Linked DNA regions of Coturnix japonica. The protein of the gene in region 1 interacts with the protein of each later gene in a pairwise test. Links are inferred from orthologs where the notes say so. Each region holds a gene or a part of one and is shown in the gene's direction. Other genes may lie near its edges. The genes, in order: PRKN, TOMM70, RGS2, RAD1, SYT11, GPR37 and SNCA.

The links.
Region 2: the proteins of PRKN (region 1) and TOMM70 come close enough for resonance energy transfer, tested with the Homo sapiens proteins (3 studies listed by BioGRID). The link is inferred for Coturnix japonica from reciprocal best matches to the Homo sapiens genes PRKN and TOMM70.
Region 3: the proteins of PRKN (region 1) and RGS2 interact in binary tests that used the Homo sapiens proteins (3 or more experiments, as listed by UniProt). The link is inferred for Coturnix japonica from reciprocal best matches to the Homo sapiens genes PRKN and RGS2.
Region 4: the proteins of PRKN (region 1) and RAD1 interact in binary tests that used the Homo sapiens proteins (3 or more experiments, as listed by UniProt). The link is inferred for Coturnix japonica from reciprocal best matches to the Homo sapiens genes PRKN and RAD1.
Region 5: the proteins of PRKN (region 1) and SYT11 interact in binary tests that used the Homo sapiens proteins (3 or more experiments, as listed by UniProt). The link is inferred for Coturnix japonica from reciprocal best matches to the Homo sapiens genes PRKN and SYT11.
Region 6: the proteins of PRKN (region 1) and GPR37 interact in a two-hybrid assay, tested with the Homo sapiens proteins (2 studies listed by BioGRID). The link is inferred for Coturnix japonica from reciprocal best matches to the Homo sapiens genes PRKN and GPR37.
Region 7: the proteins of PRKN (region 1) and SNCA interact in binary tests that used the Homo sapiens proteins (3 or more experiments, as listed by UniProt). The link is inferred for Coturnix japonica from reciprocal best matches to the Homo sapiens genes PRKN and SNCA.

Annotation. Positions count from the first base shown.
Region 1 is NC_029518.1:40,625,343-40,628,356, forward strand, and holds the end of PRKN (E3 ubiquitin-protein ligase parkin), read left to right. Parts: intron 1-1,014; coding exon 1,015-1,124; 3' UTR 1,125-2,252; downstream 2,253-3,014. UniProt on the Homo sapiens protein: Functions within a multiprotein E3 ubiquitin ligase complex, catalyzing the covalent attachment of ubiquitin moieties onto substrate proteins. Substrates include SYT11 and VDAC1.
Region 2 is NC_029516.1:76,028,752-76,032,848, reverse strand, and holds part of TOMM70 (mitochondrial import receptor subunit TOM70), read left to right. Parts: intron 1-253; coding exon 254-380; intron 381-1,479; coding exon 1,480-1,589; intron 1,590-2,867; coding exon 2,868-3,016; intron 3,017-4,097. UniProt on the Homo sapiens protein: Acts as a receptor of the preprotein translocase complex of the outer mitochondrial membrane (TOM complex). Recognizes and mediates the translocation of mitochondrial preproteins from the cytosol into the mitochondria in a chaperone dependent manner.
Region 3 is NC_029523.1:3,458,820-3,463,511, reverse strand, and holds RGS2 (regulator of G-protein signaling 2), read left to right. Parts: upstream 1-1,723; 5' UTR 1,724-1,757; coding exon 1,758-1,873; intron 1,874-2,007; coding exon 2,008-2,109; intron 2,110-2,208; coding exon 2,209-2,270; intron 2,271-3,042; coding exon 3,043-3,209; intron 3,210-3,613; coding exon 3,614-3,808; 3' UTR 3,809-4,601; downstream 4,602-4,692. UniProt on the Homo sapiens protein: Regulates G protein-coupled receptor signaling cascades. Inhibits signal transduction by increasing the GTPase activity of G protein alpha subunits, thereby driving them into their inactive GDP-bound form.
Region 4 is NC_029547.1:9,684,681-9,689,284, reverse strand, and holds the start of RAD1 (cell cycle checkpoint protein RAD1), read left to right. Parts: upstream 1-1,717; 5' UTR 1,718-1,848; coding exon 1,849-2,043; intron 2,044-2,945; coding exon 2,946-3,054; intron 3,055-4,062; coding exon 4,063-4,321; intron 4,322-4,604. Other genes in the region: BRIX1 (ribosome biogenesis protein BRX1 homolog), read right to left, coding at 214-257, 674-785, 1,451-1,603. UniProt on the Homo sapiens protein: Component of the 9-1-1 cell-cycle checkpoint response complex that plays a major role in DNA repair. The 9-1-1 complex is recruited to DNA lesion upon damage by the RAD17-replication factor C (RFC) clamp loader complex.
Region 5 is NC_029540.1:1,789,908-1,794,004, forward strand, and holds part of SYT11 (synaptotagmin-11), read left to right. Parts: intron 1-907; coding exon 908-1,731; intron 1,732-3,527; coding exon 3,528-3,651; intron 3,652-4,097. UniProt on the Homo sapiens protein: Synaptotagmin family member involved in vesicular and membrane trafficking which does not bind Ca(2+). Inhibits clathrin-mediated and bulk endocytosis, functions to ensure precision in vesicle retrieval.
Region 6 is NC_029516.1:20,448,602-20,453,318, reverse strand, and holds the start of GPR37 (prosaposin receptor GPR37), read left to right. Parts: upstream 1-1,650; 5' UTR 1,651-2,503; coding exon 2,504-3,124; intron 3,125-4,717.
Region 7 is NC_029519.1:31,289,893-31,294,659, reverse strand, and holds the start of SNCA (alpha-synuclein), read left to right. Parts: upstream 1-1,793; 5' UTR 1,794-1,961; intron 1,962-2,224; exon of another isoform or gene 2,225-2,245; intron 2,246-3,404; 5' UTR 3,405-3,429; coding exon 3,430-3,550; intron 3,551-4,767. UniProt on the Homo sapiens protein: Neuronal protein that plays several roles in synaptic activity such as regulation of synaptic vesicle trafficking and subsequent neurotransmitter release.

The DNA of each region.
Region 1 (3,014 bases):
GTAAATTGCATCTCTTACATTAATACAGGATGTTTGATATGTTGAATAGACCTTGCCATCACAGCTAGTTTTCTTCCTCTGTCAAATGAAGCAGATTGACCTATTTAACAGATCAGTTCTTAGTGTCTGTTGTTTTTACCTTCTGGAGTGGCATTTATAGGAAAGGTTGTGTAAGTGTTGCAGGTCGTACAGTAGGAAACACACACTCCTTGTACATCTTATCACCATCTGGAGTCAAACTGAGATGACATTTCAGCACTTCTTACTGCATGGTTTTCATTCTGTTTGAATTATACAAGAGATTTCTTTGTGTGGTGAGCAACATAGTTTCCATTTGAAGTACATTTTTGTAATGACCTTTGACAATGTTAATGTTTTATATATTACAAACTAAACATATCATCAAGGCTGTGAGCAGAGAGATTAAAGCTGCTCTCACAGTATGGGCATGTAAGAAACCTAACACAAAGGAAACATCGATGTGATCAAAAGACTGCTTCAGTACTAAGAAGGTCAAGTCAACTTAAATTACTAATGCCATTTTTGTATCATCGGCACTCAGCCATTAAGATCTGTCTCTTGAGTCACTCTTTGCAAAACCCTCCAACACTGAATCCAAATTTAAAAAAACTAATAATTTAGTTCAACTTCTGGCTCACCACTCTACTAGCATAGATTACCTCGGAGCAGTCACCTCCATAAGTGTTGTTTTAGAGCCTGCCATTGCTGTTCTGTGTCCCCTGCACAGTCTCTCCAAATGTCAGGCAGTACTTCAGTTCCTACTTCTGGAGTCCCTCAAATGACACCAGCACGCTGCATCCTAATAGGAGAGGGAGTAGCAGGATTTAGAAAGCTGAGGAGAAGCAGTCTTCAGGTTTGAATTTCCCTTTTACTAAATATTTTACTTGGTTAGTAATTGAATGCCAACAAAAGTTGATTCTAAAACTGTTAATGGCTGGTTAATATCAGTAAGTGCTTTTCACGTACCAAAACCATTCTTTTGCTCTTTTGCAGGTGGCTGCATGCACATGAAATGTCCTCGACCTCAGTGCAGGTTTGAGTGGTGCTGGAACTGTGGCGTGGAGTGGAACAGAACCTGCATGGGCAATCACTGGTTTGACTGATGGCACAGTGACCCAGGGGCTAGCTGGCATTGCTGCTGCAGCTGGCTTTCATCAGGGTCACATTCTGAACTCCCTGCTTGAACAAAACTCCCAGTGGTTTCAGGGGTGGATAGTTCAGATGTTAGCTCAGTTTGTTGTTTTTTTCTTGCTTACCTGTGGAATTATACTAAACTCACATTGAAGGTGCGCCAAGGGTTTTAAATCCATTAAGTAAAAAGAGAAATTGTTTTAATGGACAAACTTACTCATCGTGGTACAAAGAAGGATAAATTTCACCTTTCTGAATATCTTCAGCCTGTCAGCACAGAGAGCAGACAGGTTTACCATGAGGAACACACTTGATATTTCTAGTCAGAAATCCGTGACTCCTGCAAGAGAGCAGCAGGTGCTTTTGTGTATCAGGAGCTACAGTGGAGAGTCCCAGCACCAACTCCTTTGCTCAGTCAGCACAATTTTTGATTTTAAGACTGTGTTTCTTAACGGCTTAATAGCTTTTTAACAGATGGAAGACACTGGCTGTTCAGTGTTTACTCAGGGTTCCTTCTGAACAGGTTTGCTGTAGTGTTCTTGCCTTCAAACCAAATTCTCATAGAAACAGCCAGCTTTATGCCAGATTTGTGCTTGCGTATTTGTAACACATGGCATGAAATCTGCCTATCATCACACAGACTAAGTTACCTCTCATAGATTAGTTGAGGATGCATGCAGTTTGAGCTCTAACCATGAGTGTTGCAGTGGTGGTTGGATATGATTAAGTGTTGTAAAAGCTAAACTCCAGGGGTTTCATTTTTCTTGTGCTTATAGCAATACTTTGAATGTAGCATGGGAAGCAGGAGGAACCTTCTTGGGGGTTTCCTTCATTGTCAATCTAAATTGAATCAGAATATGATTTCTGAAAATGCATTCACAGCTCAAACAATGAGGAACTTCTTTCATTTTACAGTGTTTACACAATAAGTAAAGCTTTATAGCATTTCCAAGCCTGAACAGTGTTACTGTTTCATATCCTTTGCATTGCTGTCCTAATCTAAAATGAAATGGGTACTGTTCATCTCAGCGTGTCAGGTAAGGATTTCTTATAAGTCATTTTGAGAAAAAGCACACAGCAAATAAAGGTGTCAAAAATGACTTCATTGCTTATGTATTCATTTATTTTTATACGAGGTAAGTGAGTAAAAAGATGCTGGGTGTAATGGATAATGCATTTCCTTGACAGATTAAACTCATCTGATTCTCAGCTGAGAGACTAGCCCATTGATTAAAGCATACTCTTAGAATAAAAATAAATTTCAGGGCCATTAACTTCTTGTATCAAGTCTGAATTAACAGCTTGTGTGGTGTGACTGTAGACTTCTGAAATTATGGGTGGGCCTTCTATCAGTCAGTGCAGAGCAACAGTCTCGAGGTACAAAGAAATCCCAGACTCTACAAGAATGGCCAGCTGTTAAAAGCAGTGGAGTACTCATCTGTCTCAGCTGGAAATCACCTTAGAAGTATGAGAAAAAAAATAATAAGGATGAAGGGGTGAAGTATCAAAAATGAAAGTGAACTGACGGAATTAAGAAAATGCTGTGAGAGAAAGAAAGTGGCAAAGAGAGCACAATGGCCTCCTGGTAAAGGCCATTTTCTCTTTAGTACCAGTGAACTAAAATGTGTGCAGGTATGGTTTCATTAGAGCACAGGAGTGCAATAGAATGATGTGATGTAGTTCATTTATGTACATTATTTTAATAAGGATATTTTACTGTTAGCTCTAATTATTTTATCATTTGGTTTCTTTCTCCTGGGTCTATTTTATAATTTTATGGCTTTTTACCAACAGGCTTGGGAAAAAATCTCCATAAATAATTTTACTTTTATACTAAGTTACATGGGAGAAGTCTGTATCTC
Region 2 (4,097 bases), on another chromosome or scaffold:
TACAAAATCTGTCTGGTTTCATTTTTCTGTAGGAATTCCTTTTCAGTTTTGTGGCTCTTCTGGTGCAGGTGGCTTCCAGTGGCGCCTGGCAATTTCTTACTGAGAAACTTGCAGAAATAGAAGCAAGCAGGTAGAACCAGAGCCCTGGGAACTGCAGCTACTGTTAGGTGGGCATGACCCTGGAGCTGGTAGCAGAAAGCTAATATCATGCAGCTGAGTAGGGCTTCTTTCATCATGTTTTTCTGCCCCACAGCAAAAATGGTCAGAAGTGGCCCAAGATTGTACAAAGGCTGTGGAGCTTAATCCTAAATATGTAAAAGCTCTCTTCAGACGTGCAAAGGCTCATGAGAAGCTAGACAATAAGAAGGAGTGTTTAGAAGGTGAGTGTCTCTTGATATGTATATGTAACGGTGCTCAGACACTTTGGAGATCATTAAACTTACATAATTATTATTATTTTTTAAAATTATTGTAACTACAGTAGCCCCTAACTATTTTTAAATGTCATTTATAGTTACAACAAGTGCATTTTGTTCTCTTTTAAGAAGAAACATTTAGGTCTGAAATAGCTCCTGCAAAATGGATCTTACTGTAGCCGCTTGGGGTATTCTCTGTCCAGGAAGCTCCCTACTTGTTGAAACAGAATTCATATAATGTGTTGTGTAGGTAACGCAGACAAGGATCATTCTAATTCTGTGCGGTAATAAGGTTTCTTCCTTTTTAGAGAAACTGTACTGGTCCAGAAACAAGGTGTTTTCACACATAGAGGTGCTTAGCCATAGACAGGTGTTACAGCTGTTTAAATGCTTGTGGCAGGTGTAAAAGGCAAAACAGTTTCAGTAGCATTTCTGTCCTGATACGTAAGAGGTAGGCACATTAGAACAGATAAGAATAAAAATCCTTTTTTTATGTTAATGATGTGCATTTGGCAGAATCTGCTTTTTCCAGTTTAACTGGAAAATAAATAGGAAGAATCAATAGTAGCATTGCATTAATTAGAAGAAATAAAGATAATGTACCTTAAGAGTGCGTTTCACAATGCTGAACATTATTCAGGCAGCAATGGGTTAACATTCTCAGAAGCTCTGTGTGAATGAAAGTGATATGAGTTAGCACTTCAAATGTGCTAGCAAGATGCTTCTTGTAAAGCTGTTTCTTTCCCATGGCACAGAGGTAGGCAGAAAAAGATGGAAATATAATACAGGAAGATATCTTAAGAGCTGAGAAAGGAATGAGGTATGATTGAACAAAAAGTGAAGTTTAAAAGCAGAAATTTATGTAGAGAATGGTGACCAGTCCCAGAAGACAAGCTGTTTTGATTCTTTTAAGATGCACAAGTTATTAACTTAATTTTCTTCATTTGCTGTTATTACAGGACATGTGTTAGTTTGTGAGTAACTCATTGTATTAGTGGCACATTTTAGTGTTTTGTAACTATCAGAATTGGTCAATAATCTCTATTTTTATATTATTTCCTAGATGTCACTGCAGTCTGCATTTTAGAAGCCTTTCAAAACCAGCAGAGTATGTTATTAGCTGATAAAGTTCTCAAACTCCTTGGAAAAGAAAAGGCCAAAGAGAAATACAAGGTAAGGCTTGTGATGCTGCTGACAAATGCTGATTTCTGACTGTTGAAATGTTGTTTGTTGGCATTCTGATAACAGTTGCAAGTTGGTCGCTGCCTTCACAAAGCTAATATGTTACCATTGTTGTTTTCTGGGTTCTGACCAAACAGCTTGAAACCTTTGTGGGGAAGAAGGGCTTATTTCTAACAATCAGGTTGTTTCCTTGTAATGTTCAAAATTATGATGGTGTTCAAGAGACAATCCTAAGCTGATGTGCTGCCTTACTTGGGTTTTTCTGGGCTTGGAAGATAACGGATGTTAGAACAACAGCAGTCAAATGTTCAGTTGCACATCAGGTATTAGGAAAGTTTATGAACAATAAATAAAAACAAATACAAAACTTTGATATGTAGCGACTAGCTTAAAATGAGAAGGATGATAATAGAGGAGGTTTTACTCCTAGGTTGTTGTTCTTGGCTTTGTAGATAGAAATTAAATGCAGGAAGGATTAGGTCAACCATGGAATTTCTGGGGTTTAGAAAGTGGCTAAATAATATTGTTGGGTTTGGTTTTGTTCTTAAAAAAGCCAAAAAACATTGCTGAAAAGAAATGATGTAGAGCAAAATCTCACCTTTATATTCATGGTCAGACTTGCTGATTCTGACTTAAGAAATATGATTCCATCTCCCACAGGTTATTTGTAACAGTCCCTGTTCTTCTGAGTCAGTTATGTAAATGGATGCTTATGCTTGTACTTTTCTGTTTGGACACAGATTTCTTTGCATGAATGTTTGGAAACTGCAGCAACAAGAACTGTGGAAGTATAGAGTTAGCCAGGAAGAGTCATTTTAAGTGGCCTTAGGTTGGGACATGCATTAAATTATGCTGGCTTGTTTGTGACTGCAGTTTACCTACTGAAATCCACACTGACTTAGAGATGCTGAATTTCTTTTCTGTAGAAGCTCACATAATTGTGTGACATCGAGGTAACAAAAAATAAATGGTACCTGTAGTAGAATAGTGGTAGCATCATAAAATGGATGTTCTCTCTGTCAGGATTATTATGACTGAACTTAATAGAGAAACAGAGAAGAGTGTATTCAGACTTCACCTGCAGGAGGGATCGAACTGTAATTCTCTTTTGCAAACTTCTTATGGCTGTACAAAGGATTTTGCGTCCAAGGTGTTATTTCTCATGATTCAGATAAAATAGTTGATGTCTGGGCCAAGCCCCAAGTAAGAATTAGGATATTACCATCTGATTTTACAGTCTAGTGAATTAACCTTGTATTTGTGTTTCAGAATCGTGAGCCTCTGATGCCCTCGCCACAGTTCATTAAATCCTATTTCAGTTCTTTTACGGATGATATCATCTCCCAACCTTTGCTTAAGGGTGAGAAATCCGATGAGGATAAGGATAAGGAGGGAGAAGCTTCTGAAGTAAAAGAAAAGTGAGTGTACAGTACAGTTGGAAATTGTTTGCTGTTAAAATTATTTTTAGTGGTATTGGTGTTCTTTTCAGTTTAAGTTGCTGTTATGTTATAGTACCTGAGATCTGTGATAACAAAATAAACCTATGAAGTAAAATCAGTGTTAAAAAGGAAACTTTGGAGGGCTGTCTGACTAATTCCAAACTGTAAATGTCTTTGATCCCTTAAACAAAGAAAGTGCAAAATGGGGAAGACAAACTAAATTTTTTCTAAAATACTGTGGTAGAGAGTAAGAAAGAAGTAGAAAGTGCTGAAAGAAAGGAATAATTACATTATGCTAAAGGAGAATTCTGAAGGGAAAGAGCAAATCATCCTTTGATTGAAAGGGAGAAGACGAGCTCAGAAAAAAAGCTGTCTATTGGTGAGAACTGAATAACAGCAACTGAGGCTGAAAGGATATTTATCTTTTTAGAATCAAATCGCTCATAAGCAAGTTTTGTTCTGACAAAGAAAAGCATTAGTGCTTTTGCACTTGTTTGTTTTCTGAGTGAAGTTTGAGCGCTAAGTAAATGGGCCTTTGACTTATTGTGCTGCTTTCCAGTTGGTGTTCTGGAGGATAATCACTGCTATCAATATGGAGGCCATCGCAAACAGCACAATGAATCTTTTAAATCAGGGTAGAATGGCCTGATATACAGGCAGATTCAGTGAATCCAGGGCATGGAGCTGAGAACAAAGCAGTATTTACTGTAATTTTTTAAATCTGAAATCCATTCTTCTGCATATAAACTGCACATTGCTAGGTTCACTGTTCATTTTTCTGACCTGGTGTACCATATTAGCCCTTCTGTTTTGAAGTAGAGATTCACATTGTCCTTAATGTGAAAAACATTCAAGGGACAAATGAAGCAAGTAGGTGGGAAAAAAAACACTTCATTTCTTTCTTTCTGATGTTACTGTGGCATTTTATGTCTAAATTGTTTTGGATCTGTGGTGGTTCTGTCCAGGAATATTTGTTACTTTTAATGCTGGTGTTATTACTTAGTACAGCAGAAATTAGTGTGTAAGTTTTAAAGAAAAGTCTGAATTGAAATTGCAGTGT
Region 3 (4,692 bases), on another chromosome or scaffold:
GAGAGCTTGTGTCATTAATGCCCGACATCAGATTTCATTACTTGGCAATAGCTGAATTCTCACTGACTTGAGCAGCAAGTTCGGGCTGCAGGCTCCCCCCCCTCACTTTCCATTGGCCTTGCTCCTTTACAGCGAGATTACAGTTACAGGAATAGATTAAGTCTTCAGAAGACATAAAGGAAAAGGTTTGGCACTACACCGGTAGCAGCCCTTGCTGTGCAGACACACAGAGGCTGTTGCACCCCAAGTGAGCGAGGATGGGTTGGGGCAGCACTGCTGGATTCTATGGGAACATTAAAAATACCATCAGCAAGAGGCAGCGTGAGATGCAGCATGGATGCTGCATCCCTCACTTTGCCTGTGGCTCCTCTGCCATCCCAAAAGCAGACTGGTGCAACCTGCCTAGTTCACGTGATGCCAGCAGCAGCGCTGATGACGTTGTTTGATGTCAGACACATTCCCCTTCTATTTAACTCATACACAGAAAACATCTTCTGTCACACAAATGTTTTAACTGCTGTCCCAGCAAAGGTCAGGGTCACTACCAGAAAGCACGCAGCACAGCATGATGCAGCAAGAAACTATTCCATGTAGTTTCTTCTTCACTGCAAAAAACCAACACAGAACCAACAAAACATGCTAATAGCCTCACTTTAGGAGCGTAATGAAAATGTAAACTTCAAATACATATTAATGCAGATGATCAAAGTTGATCTAAGTATCTTTTTAAAACCAGATGTTATAGCAAGTACATCTTATCAGGCCATCTAACCTTACAATTCCATGTTCATAGGGTTGAAAAGGACCACAATGCTCATCTAGCTTCAAACCTCCTGCTATGTGCAGGGTCACCAACCACCAGACCAGGCTGCTCAGAGCACGTCCAGCCTGGCCTTGAATGCCTCCAGTGTTTTATTTTAACCTGAAATGCTATTTTCCCCTCTCACTGTTTAAAGACATAACAAAAGCTGTCTTAGAATCATTAAGGTTGGAAAGACCTCTCCAAGCCCAACTCCAGCCCATCCGCACTGACCATGCCTCTCAGTGCCATATCCTCCTCCTTTCTGGAACACCTCCAGGGACGATGACACCCCCCTATCTCCCAGCACAGCCTGTGCCACTCTATCACCACAAACTATTCCTAATACCTAACCTGGTCCTCCCCGGGAGCAACGTGAGACTATTCCTTCTCATCCTCACACAGGCTTTTCCTTAGCAAGCTCCCACCTGGGCAGCTCCTGCACGCAACAGGCAGCAGTACTGCATCCTTCTTTAAATGCTTTCAAATATTAAATAGAGGCCGTTTTTACCTAAGGCAAGATGCTCTGGCACAAGGCTGTGGGGGGGGGATGCTTTTTCGAGCCTAAGGTGTTGTGACGCGTGCGGCCGGTAGGGGGCAAAACGACGTGCTCAAATTTATCGCCGCTTTGGTTTTATCTTTTTTTCTTTTTTGAATAAAGGGGCCTTTATTCCTCCTTCCTCCTTTTCTTCTCTGCTCAGAAGCCTGTGCTGACTTTACGGACCCAAATCTGCAAATCGAAGAGGAAGAGAAGTAGAGTTGGAAAAGCAGCTTAAAGAGGAGAGAGAAAGAAAAGAGCGGAGAGAAAAGTAGCTCTGGGAGGGGTGGGAGGGGAAAGGGGGGGGGAAAAAAAAGAGAATAAATCAATATCGGAGCGCCCGGCCATACGGGGCGGGGCGTGGGGCGGAGCACGGGTGCTATATGGGGCGCTGCTGCAGCCGGGCAGCGGTGTAGGGCGATGCAGAGCGCCGTGTTCGTTGCTTTGCCGCAGGACGGCGGGCGGATGGAGCGGGGCAGCCGACGACGAGCTGAGCTGGAGGAGACGGACAAGGGCAGGATGATGAAGCGCACCATGTGAGTGGCACCGCCGGCTCGGCCGAAGGGAAAGGTTTCTCTCTTCTGCTCGCAGCCTGAAGGCGGCTCTGGGTACTGGGGTGAGGTTGGTGGTTGACGGCTTCGTTGTAAATGAGCGTCTTTTGTTTTTCCAGCATTAAAGACTGGAAGAAGAAGCTGAGCTACTTCCTGCAGAACTCTTCCCGTTCTGGCAAAATGAAGTCCAACAAAGCGAGCAAACACCACACCTATTTCAGGTGAGTTCCAGCCTTAGATAACTCGAGTGCTGCACAAAAGAAGCAGCAGATCTCGAGCTGCGGTCTCACTTTCTCTGCTCTTCTCTCTGCCTCACACAGACCTTCCCCCGAGGAAGCCCGGCTGTGGTCAGAAGCCTTCGATGAACTGCTGGCTAACAAATGTAAGTTGGTCTTCAGGCTGTAACTGTTAAGAACGAAGCAGGGGAGAAGCTGATATAGGAGATGGCTTCCCTGCATGTCAGTACTGCACGGAGCTCTTAAAGTAATATTAAAGCAGAGCTCCCCACTCTGAAGCATTGTAGCTGTAGGCTCTGTAGTTCAACTTTACCTATTCAGCCTGGCTTTGCCATAAGTGCAAAGCACTGTGCTCTCTTATCCAAATCAGATTCATTCTTATAATTCAGTAAGGATTCTGCAGCACAGAAGTCCACTGATTTCATTTTCTTGTGGGGCAGATTTTTGCTGGGGAAAAAAAAAAAAAAAAAGCACTCAACAGCACAGCAGTAACAACTAAGAGCTGATACGGCAATTTGTTCTTTGAACTTCTGAGTCATCCTTTCCATTGCAAAAGCGTTCCAGGGGTTTGTTGTGCTGTCAGAAGTATTTGCTCCAGCATAAAGGTTAATGAGGATGATCCCATCTAGAGCTTTTCTTCTTAACGTAGCTCATCTGCAGGTATCATAAGGGTACACACTGACTAGAAACAGCTTTTGGTTTTGCACTTACATTAATTTGGCTGACTTGAAGCCTGCCAAGCTGTTAGGGTGTTAATTTGCCTGCAATGTGGATTTCTTATTACCATAACATTGCAGAAAAGACCAGAACTACAGCAAAATATTTTGCTAGGAGCAGATGTGACAAATTGGCAAATATAAGATGCCTGGAATACTTAATTGATGTGGTTTTGCCTCCCTCCCCCCTTCCTTTCCCTAGATGGTGTTGCTGCTTTCCGAGCTTTTCTGAAGTCTGAGTTCTGCGAAGAGAACATCGAGTTCTGGCTGGCATGTGAGGACTTCAAGAAAACCAAATCCCCCCAGAAGCTGACACTGAAGGCAAAGAAAATCTACAATGACTTCATTGAAAAGGAGGCTCCCAAGGAGGTAAGGAAAGCACACAAGCATTGCCCTGTTTCGTGTCTTTAGCCCCACTCTATTCCTCTGAGCTTGTAAGATGCAGATGCCACAAATGCATTGGACACAACTTTTCCCTGACTGCCTTCTTTCATCAAGGTGGAAAATGGTACAAGCTGTACTTCAGATTCCACCTTAGCATGAATGGGGAGGGGGGGAGGAAAAACCAGCCTTGTCAAACACCTGTAATACTTGGGTTTGGCACCAGAAAACAGCATACCTGGATTACTCCAAGTTTTCATAGTAAAGAAATAATTTAAAAGAAACTACATCAATTTATCCCTGAAACAAAAGGACTCCTGACCTCTTCAAAAGTGTTGTGCTTGTTGGGATTCAGTTCTCAGAAAGTAAGCATCTGTTTTTTTGTATTTCAGATAAACATTGACTTCCAGACCAAGAACATGATAGCACAGAACCTCCAGGAAGCCACACACACCTGCTTCAGTGCAGCACAGAAGAGAGTTTACAGCCTCATGGAGAACAACTCATACCCACGGTTTCTGGAATCGGAGTTCTATCAGGAGCTGTGCAAGAAGCCTCCCATCACCAGAGCTGCCCAGGGAACATGAGTGCAGAGTGAGGAAACACCTCTCAGCTACCAAGGAACTGAGCTGGCTTGGCAGCATCCTGACCTGAGAGACTGAGATGGGAGCACTCAGTCAGTTTGCCTCAGCATAAGGACTGATATTGACTTTGGTGCAAAGCTGTTGGCAAAGGACATTGTTGGAAGGCGTTTGTGGCTGGCAGCAGTGCACCAGGCTGGTGATGTCCTTTTTGGAGTGCTGCAGTAAAGGAGCCTGCACGCATCTAACTGAGCTGTGCCTTGTGACACGCTCCTTGTCATAGCTGTGGTGTTATACAGCAGGTCAGCACAGAGCTGCCCTTCTGCAAGCAGAAGCATAAGTCTGTGCAGTTGAGCAGTGCTGGGAACTTGAGTCATGTATAGATTCTGGTGGCTTTTTTTTTTTTCCCCCTGCACATCAACCAGTACTGCTGTCATCAGTTCCTGGGTGTTGTAACACCATCTGTTTAAGCTGACATGAGCTGCAAAGAGATGTACTGAGGTTTGTGTGTGGTTTGCAGGCACCAGTTCTACCCTCACTGCTGTGCAAGGAGGGGACAGCCAGTTCTGCTCTAGGAGGAATGAGCTGTGCAGCACAGCCTGCAGGGCTGGGCATGGCAGCAGGGCTGCGTGAAGCTGGGCAGAGGGCAAAGCCCAGCTACAGTGAACAGGAGCTATACAGTATTATATTTATATACAGATTATGATTGTGTTGAACGCTGCAATATGTCATAATTTTGTTTGAGACAGCAAGCTTCAGTGAAGTCTTACTGTTTTTAATAAACTATTTTGATACAGAACTGCTTTTGTTGCTTGTTTTGCACACACACAAACTGGTCTGAGTGAGTTATCCTGCAGTAACCACTCTTACAAGTGCAGTCTCCACTGGGC
Region 4 (4,604 bases), on another chromosome or scaffold:
AAAGGGTTATTTATGCAGTCATGAAGACAGCTTCAGAAATTTTCCATATTAATTTCTAATGTCTCTTAACCAAAAGACAGCTTTCTTTTGGCATCACCACCTTTTCAGTATCAATTTTCAGCTATGAAGTTACACAACTCTACAACTAAAAAGAGATGTTTTGAGCTTGGTTGCCTCTTGCTCACAGAAAATAAAGATTAAAACCAGAATTACCTCATTAATTACAAACAGCTTGTCTTTACGGTCCATTTTAGTATCTGGAAGACAAAAACAACGTTGAGAAGGCCTGAACACATAATTAAACAACAACATTTTATAACGGTGTTTGCACGAGTTTTTACTGGCTGTGAATGGAAGATCAGCTACCAAGGGCTTTTTAGCCACGTCATGCTATCACAGAATATCCTGAGTTGCAAAAGTTCCACAAGGATCATGGAGTCCAATTCCTGGCTTCAATCATTTGTTCAATCCAATTGAAACTGAATAAGCCTGGTTTGTTATCATGTATTTTCCGAATTCTAGAATGTGTCCTATGACGCTTTTCTGCACTGTAACAGATATTCAGACTACATTTTATATGTCCCATTATTCACAATCAGTCAGTACCAGATTCTCAGAAATACTTGGTTTGAGGTCACTCTGCAAATGCACTACGGATAACACTCAGCCCTACCTGCTTTAGAATGAGGCATCAGCGTTCTCAGGTCTTGCATTAGGTGCCTTGTTCTGAAATTAATCCCACGAGAGGAGAAAATAAGCACCCGCTCCTTGTTCTTCCATTTACCCTAAAAAACAGACAAAAGCGTTAAACAAAAACCTTAATTTTCTTAAAGTTTCTTACAACAACACCCATTTGAACCGCAGCAACAGAAAAGATGAGCAAGAACATTCATAGCAATCTCATCACCCGCACAGAAACTCCGCAAAGGTTCGACTTCTGACATTACTGCTCACTGCAACGCATATATACAAAAGGCACATAACAACATTAAGAACTCCGCACACAATGGATGTTTTAATAAGAGGGCCCGGCAGAGGCACAGGCTGCCTTCAGATGAACATGTGCTGCGGGCTCGGGCCGCAATGTGCTTCAACGAGAAGCAGCAGCAACTACAGCCATTCCTGAGGCTCCTCAGAGCAACTCCGACACCAAGCACACTCATCATCCATAAAATCGTCTGCATAGAACTCAACTGAAGGCGTTTCTAGATTGTGGTAATACAGCTGAATCGATCGGCCAGAACAGCGCTTTTTTGTCAGCGCTTCCCAGGACGCTATTTCTGTTTGCAGTAACATAATTAGAATGGAACCGCTTCCCAGGACGCTGCTTCTGTTTGCAGTAACATAATTAGACTGTTACAGCCCTCACAACCCGCGCAGTGCCTGAGCTCCCCTCAGCGCCCCGACTCCCAGCGCCGCCCAGCTGGGCCCCAACGCGCCCCGCCGCTACCTGAGAGACCGGCGCCGGGATGCTGTACTCCTCCGGGGCCGCTCCGTCCGGGGCAGCCTTAGCGGTGGCCTCGTTCGCAGCCGGAGCCGCCTTCACTCGCTTCTTCGGCCTCGCAGCAGCCGGCAGCTCACGCTTCCTCTTGGACACCGCCATCTTACAGACACCGCGCCGTGCGCACCTCGCACTTCCGCCCGCTCGCCGCGCCACCGGAAGCGCCGGCGCAGCTGATAGCCGTGGCTTCAGGCCCCTGTAGGCCCGTGTAGGCCGCGCTAGGCCAGTCCGGTCCCGTTAGGCCGCGGTAGGCCCGGTCCGGTCCCGTCAGGCCGCGCTAGGCCCGGTCCGGTCCCGTTAGGCCGCGGTAGGCCCGGTCCGGTCCCGTTGGGCTCCAGGAGCCGGCCATGCCGTTCTCCACGCAGTCCCCCGGCAGCAGCGAGCAGTACGTCCTGACGGCCAGCCTGGATAACGCCCGCAATCTGTCCAGCCTCCTTAGGGCCGTCCACTTCCAGGATCATGCCACTTGCTTCGCCACAGACAACGGGCTTCGGGTGACTGTAGAGGATGCCAAATGCATTCAGGCCAATGCGTTTATCCAGGTAGGGTCTGGAGGCTGAGCTGCTTCCCGTGGTTAACGGTGAGAAGGGGCTGGTAGCAGCGTTAGGGACTCGAATAAGTGATGTGGTAGAACTGGTGTACAGAAGATGAGCTGTGGGGAAGGGGAAGCTTTAGTAAAGCCATAGAGTATTTGCAGAAGCTAATGTGAGGAAGATGCAGTGATTAGAATGTGGCCATTAATTAATCATATAGTGGTTGGGAACAGTCACATTGTCAAATCCTGCCATAGACAGATCATAAAATCATTCATGTTGGAAAAGACCTTGATGGGATGAGAGGTAATGGTATCCAGTTGTTCCAGGGGAGGTTCATGTTGTACGTAAGGAAAAACTTATTCTCAGAAAGAGTGGAGAGGTGTTGGAACAGACTACCCAGGGAATTGAAGTCATTGTCCCCAGAGGTGTCCAGAAATGAGGAGATGTAGCACTGAAGGACGTGGTTTAAGGAGTCTTGTGGGGATGGCTGATGGTTGGACTAGATGATCTCAGCAGTCTTTTCCAACCTTCATGTTTCTATGCTAAGTCCAGCCATCAACCTGACCTCCTCATTATCATTAACCCAGGTCTCCTAATGCCACGTCCACACATTTTTTAAGCACCTCCACCACTGCCCCAAGCAGCCTGGTCCAATGGTTGATCACCCTCTTCAGAAGGAGAGTCTTCCTCATACCCAATCTGTGCCTCTCCTGGTGTAACTTGTTATCATTTCCTTGTGCCGTATCACTTGTACCTAAGAAAACAAACATCTCCATTACTGTGATTATGTGTTAGGTAGTTATAAGCAAATGAAGAGATCTCCCAGTCACTGAAAATGTAAGACATGAGTAAGTTGTGAAGTAATTGGAAAAGCTTCACTGTTTTCATCTCTTACTTTTCTCCCAAAGGCGGAAATTTTTCAGGAGTTTCATGTTCAGGAAGAATCAGTCGTGTTCCGAATCAATTTGGCAGTTCTTCTTGACTGCTTGACCATTTTTGGAGCCAGTTCTTTGCCAGGTATAGTGTATATATATGTATATATTCCTTGACTGTGTGTATGTATAGCCTGTAATTGCACAGTGAAACCTGTGCTTGTCCATAGGTAGATATCCAGTCTTAGTAAAACTTCTGACTTCTTTACCTCAAGCTCTTCCAAGGGTGGAAGCTCTCATCCTTAAGAGGTTGGAACCTGCAGTTTAGTACTTGTTGAACAAGTGTCCCATTGCTGTGAACCATAGCAGAAGTCATCACATTGAGAGAGAGTACAGATACAGCTTGGAATTTCTTAAAATTTCTTAAAAGAAGCAAAGTGTTCCCTTTTATTATGGGGTCCTTTTTGCTCTTCAACACAAATGTTGAATTATATTCCTTTAAAAAAAAAAAAAAAAAAAAAGGGGAAATTTTGTTTCCTGGGAGGTTTTTTTTTCCTGCTTACTTAAGGAGTGTTCAAAAAGAAGTTTTCACAAGCAAAGTTTTCACGGAGCACTGGAACAGGCTGCCCAGGGAGGTGGTGGAGTCTCCTTCTCTGGAGATATTCAAGACCCGCCTGGATGCCTTCCTGTGTGACATGGTGTAGGGAGCCTGCTTTGGCAGGGGGGTTGGACTCGATGATCTCTAGAGGTCCCTTCCAACCCCTACAATTCTGTGATTCTGTGAAAGATTGTTACAAAGATAGTTAGGCTAGCTGTGTGGGTCCTGCAGGATGCACTATATATTCATATGGAGTAGTGTGAAAGGATGTGGGCTTTCTCATGCTGCTTTACCACTGGAGCTATGTGTTGAACTCCAGATTCCTCTGCTGTTACTGCTGTCTGAACTGAAGACCCAAACCTGAACTGCCCTGTGATTTTAGTAAGCTAAACATTCAGATGTTTAAGAAAAAGAGATTCACGACCATAGTGCGAGCTAAGCTGTGTTAAGTTTTGTTTGGTTGAGCTATATGACAGGAAAACCTGAATTTCCTGAAGTGATAAGATGCCCTGATGGACATTCTCTGAACAACATGTATTTCACACTCCTTTTCAGGAACATCAACAGCTCTTCGGATGTGTTATCGTGGGTATGGCTATCCCTTGATGTTGTTCTTAGAAGAAGGAGGAGTAGTGACAGTGTGCAGAATTAATACTCAAGAACCTGAGGACTTGTTAGACTTTAATTTCTGCAGCACCAATGTCATCAATAAAATTATCCTGCAGTCAGAAGGGCTACGAGAAGCATTTTCTGAACTTGATATGACCAGTGAAGTTCTGCAGATTACCATGTCTCCAGATAAACCATATTTCAGGTACTAGAAACTATCTAAACTTCAACTCAGATGTTCCTGCTCATCCTATTTGCTCTTCCCTTGGTGAGAAATGGAATTTTACAGAGTGAAGAGGAAAAGCCCTTAGGAGAATTAGAGTCTGGGGGTGTTGGTTGATGAAAGACTCAACATGAGCCAGCAATGTGTGCTTGCAGCCCAGAAGGCCAACTATCTTGGGTTGCATTGTGAGAAGTGTGACCAGCGGGTAAAGGAAGGTGATTCTGCCCCTCTACTGTGCTCTTGTGAGACCCCACCTGGAGTACTG
Region 5 (4,097 bases), on another chromosome or scaffold:
CTTCTGAAATAAACTGAATTTCACACTCCTCCTCATTCCTTCTCACTTCTGAGGGGTCAAAGAAACGTGGCGCAGAAGGCGACTGTCCAACAGCAAATAGGGATGTCAGAATGGGGATTAATTTCTAATCCTGAGCTTTGGTTCTATAAGCAGCACCCACTAAATGCATTCTGTACCATAGGAGGAGGGATGCTGGGGCTGAGGATCCCTCCCTTCTCTCCCCTGTTACGATACGACCGCAGCGTGAACGTCTCATGGCACAAGAAGAAGATCTTTTCCTTCTCTTTTAAAGCTGAGCATAGCCAGCTCCTTCAAGCTGTCCTCATATTCCATCTGCTCTCCGTTCTCCACCCTCCATCTGCTCCAGCTCTTTAATTATCCTGGTGGCCCTTGACTAAATTGCTTGTATATGTCAATATAATGTACTGGGGAGCTGGAAACTACTGGTTTCATTTTGTGTTTGATAATACATCTCCAAAAGCAATGGTTATAAATAGAAAATAACGAGCTTGGTTGCTAAAAATGATTACTGTGCCTTTTTGTTCAGGCCTGACATTGCTGAAGAACCCAACTGACACATAAACTCTAGCAAAATATCAAATAATCCCTACGTACAAAAAGAGGATATTCTGTCCATTGCTTTTAAACACCAGATTTTCACACGAGAAAGAGTTCAAGGTTTGAATTACTCATAAGGGACAATTTATGAATAATCTTATGACAATTTCTGAATAATCCAGGGTTGGGTCCATAGAAATACAAGTTAACTTTTTATTCTAGGGATGCCTTGATACTAGGCTTAATGAATAGCATGCTATAGAGTCCCTGCCCAGGTATGCTCCCTCCTGGGGGGCTGTGGCACTCAAAGAAGTTCCAGCTCTTTCTTGACTGCTTTTCTCCCCTACAGATGTCTCTCCAGTTGTGGCAGGCCTCATTGGTGCTACTGTCCTGGTGGTTTCTGTCTCGGTAACAGTTTTTGTGTGGACATGCTGTCACCAGCAAGCAGAAAAAAAGCACAAAACCCCACCGTATAAATTCATTCACATGTTAAAAGGCATCAGCATCTATCCGGAGACCCTGAGTAACAAGAAGAAAATCAATCGAATCCGGAGAGACAAGAATGGAGCTCCTAAGGAGGCTGGGAGGGGAAACCTTTTGGTGGATGCTGCTGAATCTGGCTTGGTAGGCTCTGATAAGGCTCCAGATGGGCCAAATGCAGCTCCTCACATTGATCAGCTTCCGATCAAAGTAGATTATGGAGATGAACTAAGCCCAGATCAAAGCCTCACTCCGGGTGGAAGTAAAACCTCCTCCCCATCTTCTCCAGGGGAGGACGTCCTGTTGGGTGAACTGACTTTCTCAGTGGACTATAACTTCCCTAAAAAAGCCCTGGTGGTTACTATCCAGGAGGCTCACGGGCTGCCAGTTATGGATGAGCACACTCAGAGCTCCGACCCATACATCAAGATGACCATTCTTCCCGACAAAAGGCATCGCGTGAAGACCCGCGTCCTTCGCAAGACGCTGGATCCGGTCTTTGATGAAACCTTCACCTTCTATGGGATCCCCTACAGCCAGCTCCAGGATTTGGTGCTTCACTTCTTGGTGTTGAGTTTCGATCGCTTCTCTCGAGATGATGTGATTGGAGAAGTCATGGTGCCCCTTGCGGGAGTGGATCCGAGCACTGGGAAGGTTCAGCTGACCAGGGAGATTCTCAAAAGGAACATACAGGTGAGTAACTTCATCTCGTGTCATTGAGCTTTCCTTGCTTTGCATTTGGTCCCAGTTCTTCTGGTTTGGGAGCCTCAGTGATCTGGTGAGGCCAGACCGGAGACTACACCATTCTTAGTTATGAAACCCATTTTTTTTCCCACAGATGTATGTTATTATGTATGTTATTTTACTAATATCTGACCATGTTCTTTTAGTTTGGCAGTTCTCTGCTGTGTGGTTATAGAGATTTGGTAACACAGTTACTGTAGGGGCACAGAAATGGGGAATGCCACTCCCAATAAAAGAGCATTGTGACAAAGGGACATTCATCCTTGTCCGAGCTGTTCATGGAGAACAGCTAGAGATAGAGTTGCACTGAATACCTTTTAAACCAATTCTGAGTAACAATATATCCTGCTCTGCAAAGACAGATCGCACTTAGAGAAGGATTCATCTGACCCTTCTGGACACCTCCATTTGTAATTACCTAATTTGTAACCGTAGGCTGTAAGCCATTGAAAATATATCAGCATCACCAGCAAAGGCTGCTACAAAACATGGATGGGGAGACGTCTGGAGCAGCTCAGATCAATCCCACCTCCATCGACCCCCTCCTTTTCCCATGTGAGGATGAAGTGTATCTACCCAGTGTAGATATCTAAAACCCAAATGAACTGAATCCTGCTCTCATGTCTCGTGCTGTGGACTGGAAAGAAAAGCAGCCTGAAGACTCACCTCGATGGGGCTGCTTTACATTCTGCATTAGGGTTTTTAAAGTATTCTTTTCAGTGCATTGACTGCATGTCCTGTAAGTTCTACAAGTAATAGGTTAAAAATTGAGGAAAGTGGTCACACTAAAAAATAGATGTGATCAATTGTGCACGTTATTTAATATGCAGCAGTAACTAGAAGTAAATTTACCTTGGTGCCAGCTGCGCACACCATTTTCTCCAATTAATTTAAGCATCAGCATTCAAAACAACAGATTTAACGTTTATTGTGGTGATGTTTCTATTGGAAACAAAGCAAATCCTCCATTTGTGACCTCCTTCCCCATCTGCACTGCAGGGGGGGTTAAAAGGAGCAGATGCTGATGGAGGGGGCAGGGCAGGATGCTGATGGCTGAGCTTAAAGCAAGCAGCTGTTTGAGTTCTGCAGTGCTGTCACTGCTGTGCTCCCTACACCACACCATCTCACGCCCATTGCCAATACCACCTTCCTTGATAGCAAATAAACTTAATTGAAATTAGCGCCATCTCACTGGAAGTTAATGAGTGCCGACTGGAAACCAAAGCTAATAATCTTAATAGTGTTATTCTTTGGAAGTATGAATGACGAGTTTAATAGAATAGTTTCTTTTTTGTCTTCATCATTTTCTGGTGTAGGATTGACTGATGGTGGAGCTCCCAAAGTGTGCCCAAGGAGCTCGAGGTGCTCACCAGTGTAACCTCCAAAAGAAATCAGTGAACTTAGAGCTCCCAGAAACCACAGCATCTCCAGAGGAGACCTCAGAGGAACCCTGAGGTGCTCATTTCTCTGAGCATGACCCCAGGTTTGCTCCCAGAGAAACTGAAGGCTGTGGTGATGCTTTGCTCAGCAGACATGGTATATAGAGCAGAGGATGTTTTACCTTCAGCAGCTCGCTCTCCTTCTGGAGACCTCACATGGCTACGGCTAAACATGGATTTAGAATGAAACACAGATGATTTTCCAACTTCCTGGTCCTTTAGCATAAGAAAAGGAGAACACCCCCAACATTACCCCATGTTTGTAAGATCTTGTCCTAATACACTATTGCTGTTTCTTGTTCACAGAAATGCATTAGCAGAGGAGAGCTGCAGGTCTCACTATCTTACCAACCCGCGGCACAGAGAATGACCGTCGTGGTGCTGAAAGCCAGACATTTGCCAAAGATGGATATCACTGGCCTCTCAGGTAGAAGCTATTTTCTCCAACCCTGAATATGTTTGTAGTCTGCCACACAAAGCCACCCTGAGGGCAATTCATAGCTTTGCTGCGGGGGTGCTCCAGCACAACGTTGTTTCCATCTGAAAGAACATGCAGCAAAATACAGGCTGGGTTCAGAGGGGGGAGGAAGGAGACTTTAATATCCAAACAGTGCACAGCAGCTGTTGGTTGTTGGGTAGGAATTGTGTTGCAGAAGGTAAATGCATTCTGATAAATAAGAGAATGTGAGAGGAAACTCCCAGTCGCTACAAGCTCAGCTCACTTTTAGATCATTTACTTCTTCTTATTGTCTTTACTTTGCAAACTTTTCCTCAAACTCCTGAGCGTGATGAATCACTGCAAGTGACAGAACAGAACAGATGCAATATGCAAGGCTAACATTTTATCCTTCCCTGATACTTATGTTATGCATTAGC
Region 6 (4,717 bases), on another chromosome or scaffold:
CCAAAGAATCAAATGGGGGAAAAAAATAAGAAAGAAAAAAAAAAAAAAAAAAAAAAGGTTAAATGTATTTACCATTCCCTTGTTCTCCTGCTATTTTTCTATTTAAAGACACTCTTGTTAGTTAAAAAATATTTACTACCTTGGTCATTTAAGTCCATGAGATGACACATTGCTAAGGAAGAATAATAGCATAACTTATATTAAGGAGCATTCCATGCAGCAGTGCCAAATTTATTATACCTGTTTCCACATGCTTAGAAACATTTCAGGCTGCCCACAGTTACATTCCAACTCTATGTGTGAGAATGGCGTCAGGAGCAGGATGGCACCTGGGTCCTGAGAGCTTTCTGTGCGACCACCATGGAAAGGCACTGCTCTTCAGTTAGTGTGGGACAGGATTCACTCCTTTTAGCCACTCAAAGGTCAATTTTTGTCATCCTTCTGGTGTAGGTAGTGTACTGGGGCACCTCCAGACACTCAATGTAGATGATGTTGGATGCTCCTGATCCCAGGCACTTTGCCCTCTGTTGAAAGCAAAGTCAGTCCAGCGAGTGCCTTGATGCAATGCTTCCCTTCTGCCACTTGGGTGGGTTATTGTTTGTCCAGTCCAGAAAGCCAACCAGATTCTGGGCTACATCAAAAGTGGCCAGCAGACTGAGGGAGGTGATCCTGCCCTCGGCTCTGTGCTGGGGAGACCTCACCTGGAACACTACCCTACCAAGACAGGCTGAGAGAGCTGGGGCTGTTCAGCCTGGAGAAGAGAAAGCTCTGGGAGATTGAAAACAGCCTTTCAGTACCTAAAGGGGGGCTCTAAGAAAGTAGAAGACAGACTTTAGCAGGGTGTGATATGATGGGACAGGGAGAAACGATCACAAACTAAAAGGGGTAAGATTTAGACTGTATATGAGGAAAGAGATTTTTAATAAGGGTGGTGAGGCTCTGGAACAGGTTGCCCAGTGGCGGTGGATGCCTTGTCCTTGGAGACGCTCAAGGTCAGGCTGGAGAGGGCTCTGAGCAAACTGACATAGCTGTAGGTGTCCCTGTTCATTGCAAGGGAGTTGGACTAGATGATCTTTAAGGTTCCCTTCTAACTCAAATAATTCTGTGAAATAAACTGTAAGAAAACAATCCATACAAAGAATCTTATGGGCATTACATCTTGCCTCTGCCCTGCGGAGACAAAGCAACAGCAGCGTGTTCCTGATTGCATCTGGCAGGTTGGCTCCGTGTGCGTGCAGCATGTATTTTCTGTCACTGCAGACTGACATTTTCCTTTGTTGGTCATTAAGACAAAAAGCCTGCAAACACACTCCTTGTGCTCGGGGTCGCAACACTTGTCCACAAGAGGAGCCCACAGCTCTGTTAGACGCACAGCCATGGAGCACAGCTCCAGCTGCTTACTGATCTAACAGAACGGCTTCAGCTCAAGGGTGGGGAACAAGAACACTTCTCAATGTGCTTCTTAGAAAGAGTGTAAAACTTTTAAAGGTGGTGGGGAGGAGCTGCACAGAGCTTCAGGCTACTTACAGGTTAGCGTATCCAACTTTGTTTAGCTAAAAAAACGCTTGAATTATATAAAAATCAAGGAAGCAAGAAGGAAGAGCTATAAAGTTTATCAGACAGAACAAGGACAACAAACATAAGCGTTAAAAGACGCTCAAAACAGGAAAATAAACTAACAAAACAAACAAACAAAAAAGCAGAGCAGCCTTCATGGGTCTCAGCACCATCCGGGGATGCCTCCGGCGCAGTCCAGTCGTAAGGGTGGTGCTTTGGGCCACATCTTCCATCACCGACTAAAATCGGACTCGCCGGAGCCGGATCGGTCCCTCCGTGCCGCCGGGCGGCGCTTGCGCACTGCGGGGCAGCCGCGCTGCTCGCCCGTCTCTCCGACGCGCCCCCAGCCGCCGCTGCGCCGAGCCGGGCTGGGCAGAGCTGGACCGAGCGGCACCGGGCTGACAGCGGCACCGGGCTGAGCCGGGAGCAACCCGCCGACCAGCACCTCTCAGCTCCCGCACGGAGCTGCGGTCGCCGCCCTCTCGCTGCAGCCGGAGGCGGGAGCATCCTGCAGGGGTCGGTCCCGGGACTGCATCTACCCCGAGCGCGTTGCTTGCCGACGGACGGAGTTTGGCAAAGATCTCAAACACGCTGCGCTCCGCGCGACAACCTGTTCTCTCCGGGAGGAGCCGGTGGCCGCGGTCACCCGGGTATGGGCGGCGTTCCCGGGGGACCTCTCCCAGCCGAGAGCCCCGCTGCCCGCTGTTGGATGTAAATAGGCGGCAGGCGGCGGGGCGGCAGCGCTCCCGCGGAAGGGCGGAGCGCCGGGGGGGGTCCTCCCGGCCCCGCACACGCTACATTAACTCCGCGCGGCGGAGGCGGCGGCACAACTTTCGGGCACTGCCCCGGGAGGCGGCGAGAAGCTCAGCTCCGAGTGCGGGTATGTCCCCCGCCGCCAGCCCCGCCGAGCCGAAGGGCAGCGGCTGAGCCCCGCCGCCTCCCGGCCATGCGGCAGCTCCGCGCTCCCCTCGCCCTGCTTTGCCCGGTGCTGGGCGCCTGGGCCGCCTGCGCCCTGCTCCCCGTCGCCGGCTCTGCTCTGCCGGCGCCCCCGCAGCGCTCCAGCTCAGCGCCGACGCCTCTCGCCCCCCCGGGCCGCCGCGCCGTCGCCGCTGTGCCCCGGCGCGGGGCCGAGGCGGAGCCCGGGCGGCGGCGGGCGCGGAGCAGCGAGAGCGGGGTCGGGGCGGCGGCGGGGAGCGGCCCCCGGTGGCTGCCGCTGAACGGCTCTGCCCGTGGTGAGAGCGCCGCCGGGGGCCGCGGCAATGGTACGGGGCGCCGAGCCCGGCTCCGGAACCCCTTCTACCCGCTGACCGAGGAGTCGTACGGCGCCTACGCCGTTATGTGCCTCTCCGTGGTGATCTTCGGCATCGGCATCATCGGGAACCTCTCGGTGATGTGCATCGTGTGGCACAACTACTACATGCGGAGCATCTCCAACTCCCTGCTGGCCAACCTGGCCTTCTGGGACTTCCTCATCCTCTTCTTCTGCCTTCCTCTGGTCATCTTCCAGGAGCTTACCAAGAAGTGGCTCCTAGAGGACTTCTCCTGCAAAATCGTCCCTTACATCGAGGTAACGGCGGGGCGAGCGGATCCCGGGCAGCCCTCGTGTCGTAGCGTGGGGTCCCGTGCTCCGGGGGGCGTCCCGTGGTCAGTCAGGGTGGCAGCTCCGGGATCCCCGTATCTCCGGCTGAGCGCTTCCTCTCGTGCGAGTTCTGCCAAACTTTTATCGCTCCTCGTGGTGCTGAAAAGGCGAGGAGTACTCGCAACGTTTGATTACAAGTTTTAGTCTTTCTTTCTTTTCCCCCCCCCCCCCCTTAAAGTGAAATGACTCGGGGATTGAGTTGGGATAGGTTGGAGGAGAGTTGGATTCATGTGCTGGAGATGAGGGGTGAGATGGAGTGGGAGCCCGGTATGCTGTCTCTCTCTGCTCTTCGCCCAAATCCTTCTGCTCAGTGTTATTCTCTAAACTGGAAGCTGAGAAGAAACTGTTGATTTGCTTGTAGTACAAATGCGATACTAGAGGTGTGAAAAAGGGAAGAAAAAAATTAACCCTGTTATTAATACATAGAATATCAGTCTCCACTATCAGCTGCCAAACGATACTTTTATGGAGGTCTTAAGATAGAGCGTGCAGCCACTACACTGCCATCACTTCTGTTCTGTGTGATGCACTCTGTTACTTGCAGTACTGGACAAAGAGTGGAGCTGTGATGTACTCAGAGGAACTGAAGCCAGTTAGTATACTGATGCCGTGATCTGGAAAGCTTAGGGTACACTCCATTGACCTGGGTTTGGGAAGAAGTGAAGGGTGAAATATGTATTTGTTGAGAATGCTAATAGGAGCTTTGGGCAGGAGCTTCTGAGAGCTCTGAATTCACTTCTAGGGATGCTGTGTTATCCAGTAGATGAGTAGTTCCTGCTTCAGTTAAAGTGTGACCACTTTATTTAAAGTAGTGATCTAAGTTTAGTATTTCAGTACTTTCCCCTCCCTTCTCCCCCCTTCTGAATTACCTGAGCTGAAATGGAGCTGTCAAATGTAGCTGTAATCCTGAAGGCATCAGGCAGCTGCTGACCCCTCCTTTATTCTCTAATGTCACCTTAGTTTTCACTTTAAAGTTCCTCAGATGCCCACAGCTGAACTTTTATTCAAGAACTGTCAGCCATCCACTGATGATGGACCAGCCCAATGGTGCCTGTCTGAGGCTTGGTCATTACTGGGGTCATTCTCCTCTTCCCAGAGGAAATTTAATTAAGTTGTATCTGAGGCGAACAACTGAGTAGAGAGAGCCTTGAGGTACCATGTCACTCCCAGAACTGTACATATTTTGTTCATTAGTCATTAAGTATAATACGCATGTAAAGAATATTCGTCACCCTGGGAGCAGTAAGTAGAAGAAAACACTGCTCATTGCAGGGGAGTTGGACTAGATGACCTTTAAAGATCCCTTCCAACTAAAGTATTTCTATGATTCTATGATTTGACCCTGAGGAGACAGAGGTGGGAATTAGAGCCAATGTCTGCCACTTTCTGAGTGCAGTTCCGACCTCATGGGTGTTACCGTCAATGCTGACACCACTAGGAACACTGCAGACATGGAGCAGACCTGTCCCCTGGGCAGCCTCGGCTCCATTAGCAGTGCCATCGTAACAGCCAAATGTCAGA
Region 7 (4,767 bases), on another chromosome or scaffold:
GGTTGGAATGAAGTATGCTACTGTCTGAGTTTTGCACTTGTTTAAACAGTTTGCTGGTGACTAACATTAGTATCTAATTAAAGCTGCTGCTTTCCTGATACATCTCTTGGGAAACACTGCCATCCAGGTAATTAATGTGCTGTGACTGCACTGGCTCAGATACCTAGATTTGAAGCAGGCTACTTCAGAGCATACTATGTTATCATTGACCTTGGATGCCTTCATTGCTGGCTTCTATCTGAAACAGGATTGGAGACTAGACGGGCATCAGAGCTGATCCTGCATGACAATTCCCACTTCACTAGTATTAGCACAGTCAGTTATATCAGATAGGGCTAATGTATTGCATCGTGCATGAGGAAGAGAATTTGTTCTCATTCATAGTCAGCTCATTGGTGCTATGTAGTGGGAAACATCCTAAAGAACAATCAGCATTGACTTTGCCAGGGATCCTTTGGACGGCCTCATCTGAAGTCTCTGATCACCTACTCATCTATTGTCTCTGAGTAGAAATGCACTGCTGCTGTGTTGGCTTCCGTACCACTTGAGCTGTTGCTTTTCAGAGTATGGATTTACTTAAGGTCCCAGGGGGACAGAGCTGCTTTCCACTCAAACACTGACTATCTAGCCAGACAAAGTCATTAATTTGAGATGTTATTGTTGCTCATGTAAAATGTGTTATTTCTGCAATTTCAACCTTGACTGCAAGTAAAGTGTAGCTCATGATGAATAGGATGTGCAATTGCTGGATCATTTGCTAAGGATTTTCTGGAGAGCAGAATTATGAAGGAATGGTTTGTGTTCTCAGTCAGCACCTTCTCACACAAAAAAATACATTTCACCAAATGTTTGCTTGGTTAAATGTAGTAGTGGAATGAATCCCAAGGAAGATTACCAAGCGGTAAAGAAACATTAAGAAACCTGAAAAAGAGAAAACTCTGCACTGTGTGCTCAGAATGGAAATAAAAGCAGGAACCTGTCTGCTGTCTGCCCAGTATGATGGATGGAAGGTGCTTTGTGCAGCTCACATCCCTGTGTCTCATCTGTACCAAGCTCTGCTTCTCCTTTGGAGCGCAATGACAGAACAAACTGTTTTTGCAAGGTTTTGCAGGATCTGTACAGCATGCTGACTGATGTACTGATGCTGAAGGTCCATCTGTTCTAATACCTTGTTTTCCACTGAATTTGGCTTTTCATGCCTACGCTCTGCAGCAATGCAGAGAAGTGACATTGCCTTCCCTTTCTGGGGAAAAGTGACTTGAGTGTAACAGACCAAGAGGGGAAATGCAGTGGCTCTGGTCTGTACAATGGAGACCAACAGGTGTGAGGCTGGGCTTCTCATCCTTGTTTAGACAAAGATTTTATTATATTATGCTGTGGGGTTAAGGATCTTGTTTTACCTACAAGAGTATTACCTGCCATCCTTAAAAATGAGCTGGGAGCGTGAATCCTGAGAGCGTTCACCTCAAGTCACTCCGGCCTGAAGGCTTACGAGAGGAAGATAAGTAACCAAGAGCTCGGGGGCGTTTTCTGAGCCGTGGGTGAAGCGAAACAGGTGTGCTGAATTCACTAGCAACAGCTTGCTCGCATTGCTTCTGAGTGCTGTGATTCAGCCGCCGGGGCGAACAGCGGACAGGTGGTGCCACGAGATGACCAGGACCTCAGCCTCCCCTCTTCTTTCCTATCCTTACCTCCCACCCCCACGTCACGACGCATACCCGACCCGCAGCACATTCCCACCCAGAAGGGGATGGAGGCTGGGAGCCGCCCCACCGCCCCCGGCCCCTCCTCCTACCGCCCCCGCCCCGCACCCTGCCTCTCCTTCACACTCGCTGCCTGCCTTGCTGCCGTCGGGAGAGTTGGCGATGTGCTGAGAAGGGGCAGCTCCCATCAGGTCTCTCTGCGCTTCGCCCTCCTCCTGCCCTGCCTCCCCCCGCCTTCCTGCAGCGGCGGACCCAGCGGTAGGTGGTGGGGAGTGCATGAGAGGCTCTGCTCGCCCTGGGGCTGGGCAGCCGCAGGGGTGGGTGTGCGGACAGGTGCATTTGTCGCTCAACGTGTTCTCCTTTGGGCACGAAGGAGGAAGGGAACGGGAGGGGAAACCAGCGGGCGCCGCGGCTGCCGTGTGAGGGAGCCGCTGGGTGCTTATGTGCTCACGTAGCCCTGCCCTTCTCCTCGGATAGTCCGTATAGATACAGACACATACATGTGGGAGAGCCCTGCGCGTTCTTTCTTCCTTCCTCCACAGGTGCCCATTCTTTTATTTAGACTGAGCCACGTAGCCATGTACTGCTTTCTTCCCTCGCTCTGCACCCAGGTGCTCCCACACCTGCTCTCGGTGCTGCCTACGGTGTCAGTGGGGCACGGATTCTGCCCTTCTGATTGCCACGGGTTAGTAGCAAGCTCCCCACTGTCTTCCTAGACATCCCTTCCTCCGGCGGAGGGAAAGAACTAGCAGGCAGTGCATCTTCTGGGAGGGGGAGGGGGAGAAAGGGAAGGGGCTGTCGGCGACGGGATTGTGAAAGGGGTGTCTTGCTGGCTTTAATTACTGTCTTTGTGGCCTAATTGTAGCGTAGGGCTGTATAACTGCCACAGAACCTACTTGCTAGCTGTAGTGTGGTGTTATTAGTGTAGCATGTTCTTGCCTTTGCTTTTTTTTTTTTTTCCTCCTTAGTCTTGATGCATGTGCAGGATCCCTTTTGAAAGCTCAAGTGCTGGCAGAGCAATATGGGCTGCATGCAAAATGCTGGGTTGCTGGAAAGCAGTTTTGTGTTTGCTCAAGTCCTTCTGGAACATTAGTGGTTCTTCAAACAACAATGAGCGAACGTTTCTCATTTAGAAGAAGCGTTTGTAAAGTTGTTAGTTTTTAAGTTTTTCCTTTGAATGAGAAGGTGGAGCATCAGCGAATGATGGGATTAGATCTTGTAGTTAATAGACAAGAAACTGTCCTTTGGAGGAGATGGTGGTAGGCAAGGAATGGATTTGTTCCTTTCAGTGAGTGCAACTTCAAATGAGAACTGCGTTATCAGTGACCTTTCTGTACGTTTCTGTGGGAACTCCTGGGCCTTTCAGGGACTACCTTAGCCATACTGCTTAACTTGAACTTGCTCTGTGGTAGCATGTGAGATGTAAAGGTGAGTTGTGTAATGGAGCTCCTTTGTTTTCTAGTTATTTAACTGTTTTTTGTCTATCTGAAATACTGAAAGCGATCCTAGATACAGAGAGGTATGTGTATATTGCTAATACGGATGTAGATGGAAGTTATATAATATGTGAGTATAAATAATGTATTTCAAAAGTATTTTGATGTGCAATCAGTTTTAATAAAATTTTCTGGCAAAAAAAAAAAAAAAAAGCTGAGAACCATTATTTAAAGTGTGTTTGGTATTGTTTTTTTTTTTTTCTAGTGTTGTGTGAAGAAATCCTTCAGCCATGGATGTCTTCATGAAGGGACTTAACAAGGCAAAGGAAGGGGTTGTAGCAGCAGCAGAAAAAACCAAGCAGGGAGTGGCAGAAGCAGCAGGAAAGACGAAAGAGGGAGTCCTCTATGTGGGTAGGTGGGCAGTGAGGTTGTGCTGCTGATTGGTGTACCCTGACAGCCCCGCTCATCTGAAAGAAAGAGCTGAATTCTCTCTCTTCTCTGAAATATGTAATCACTCATAGGAGAGGATTAACTGCAAAGTAAACATGATGAGATTTGAACTCTCCTGAGCATAGGGTCTTTGACGATTGTTGCTTGTTTGTTTGATTGCTGTTTGTTGTGTGTCATGTATTTTTTTTTGGTTCTTGTCACTGTGTGTGCTGGTCATATGGGGCTGCATTTGTAATGTTGTACAGGATAAACTTGCCTGTTGGAAGAGGCCTTACAATGCAAGTTACTGACTGGCCCTATTTAAGATGCTTGCTATATGGGAGGTAAATTCACAGAATCCTGTAGAATGCCTGAGTTTTAAGCAGGATTTTTAAAGAAAAAACTTGAGATGTTGGTTCTGGAACTGAATCTAAGACGTGCCAATGTCTTTTCCTGGAGTAGAAGGAAGATAACTGTACACCCCATAGAAAGGAGCTTGTTTTCTTTCTTCACTAAATAAAGGTCCTCAGCAGTAACATTTTGAATGGTGAGGTGTCAGCTCCTTGTTTTTCAAAGTTAACCTAATGTTCTATACTTACTATTGCATATCCTCAGCAGCTATTTTCCATGGCTACTCAAAGAAGAACCTTTACGGTCACTGAGACAGTGGAGAAAGTGGGAAGCAGATGTTAGTTGACTTACCCAGACTATGCGAGTACTTTGCATGGAACCCGGGGAAAGATTCTTTTCAAATCTCACATTGGACTGTTGACGACACAATCATCGTCTTCACTTAGAAACTACCAGGCCTTAAAGTACTGTCTCATAAATGCCATAGTGAAAAATGAACAGGAAAAAAGCTGCCAAGAACATATGAATAGGTCATTTAAACTGGAGGAATTCCATTTTATTTTTTTTAAGTTAATTTCAGTTGCATGGTAGTAGAATAGGAAGGAAAATACACTCTTTTCTGTAGATTCGTTCTTTTTTTATGATTTGGCAGCAAGTCAATTCTGTAATGGATGCTGCTTTTATCTGGGGAAGTGTGTACAAATATTAAAAAGAAGTTGAACAGAGTTTAAAACAAAAAACCAAAAAAACAGATGGAAGAACTGATGTTTCTGTACATCTTTCCAGGATTCCTTCTGCCCTTGCAGGTTGATGCCAGTCTGTAATGAATTATTTCTACTCCACGTAGT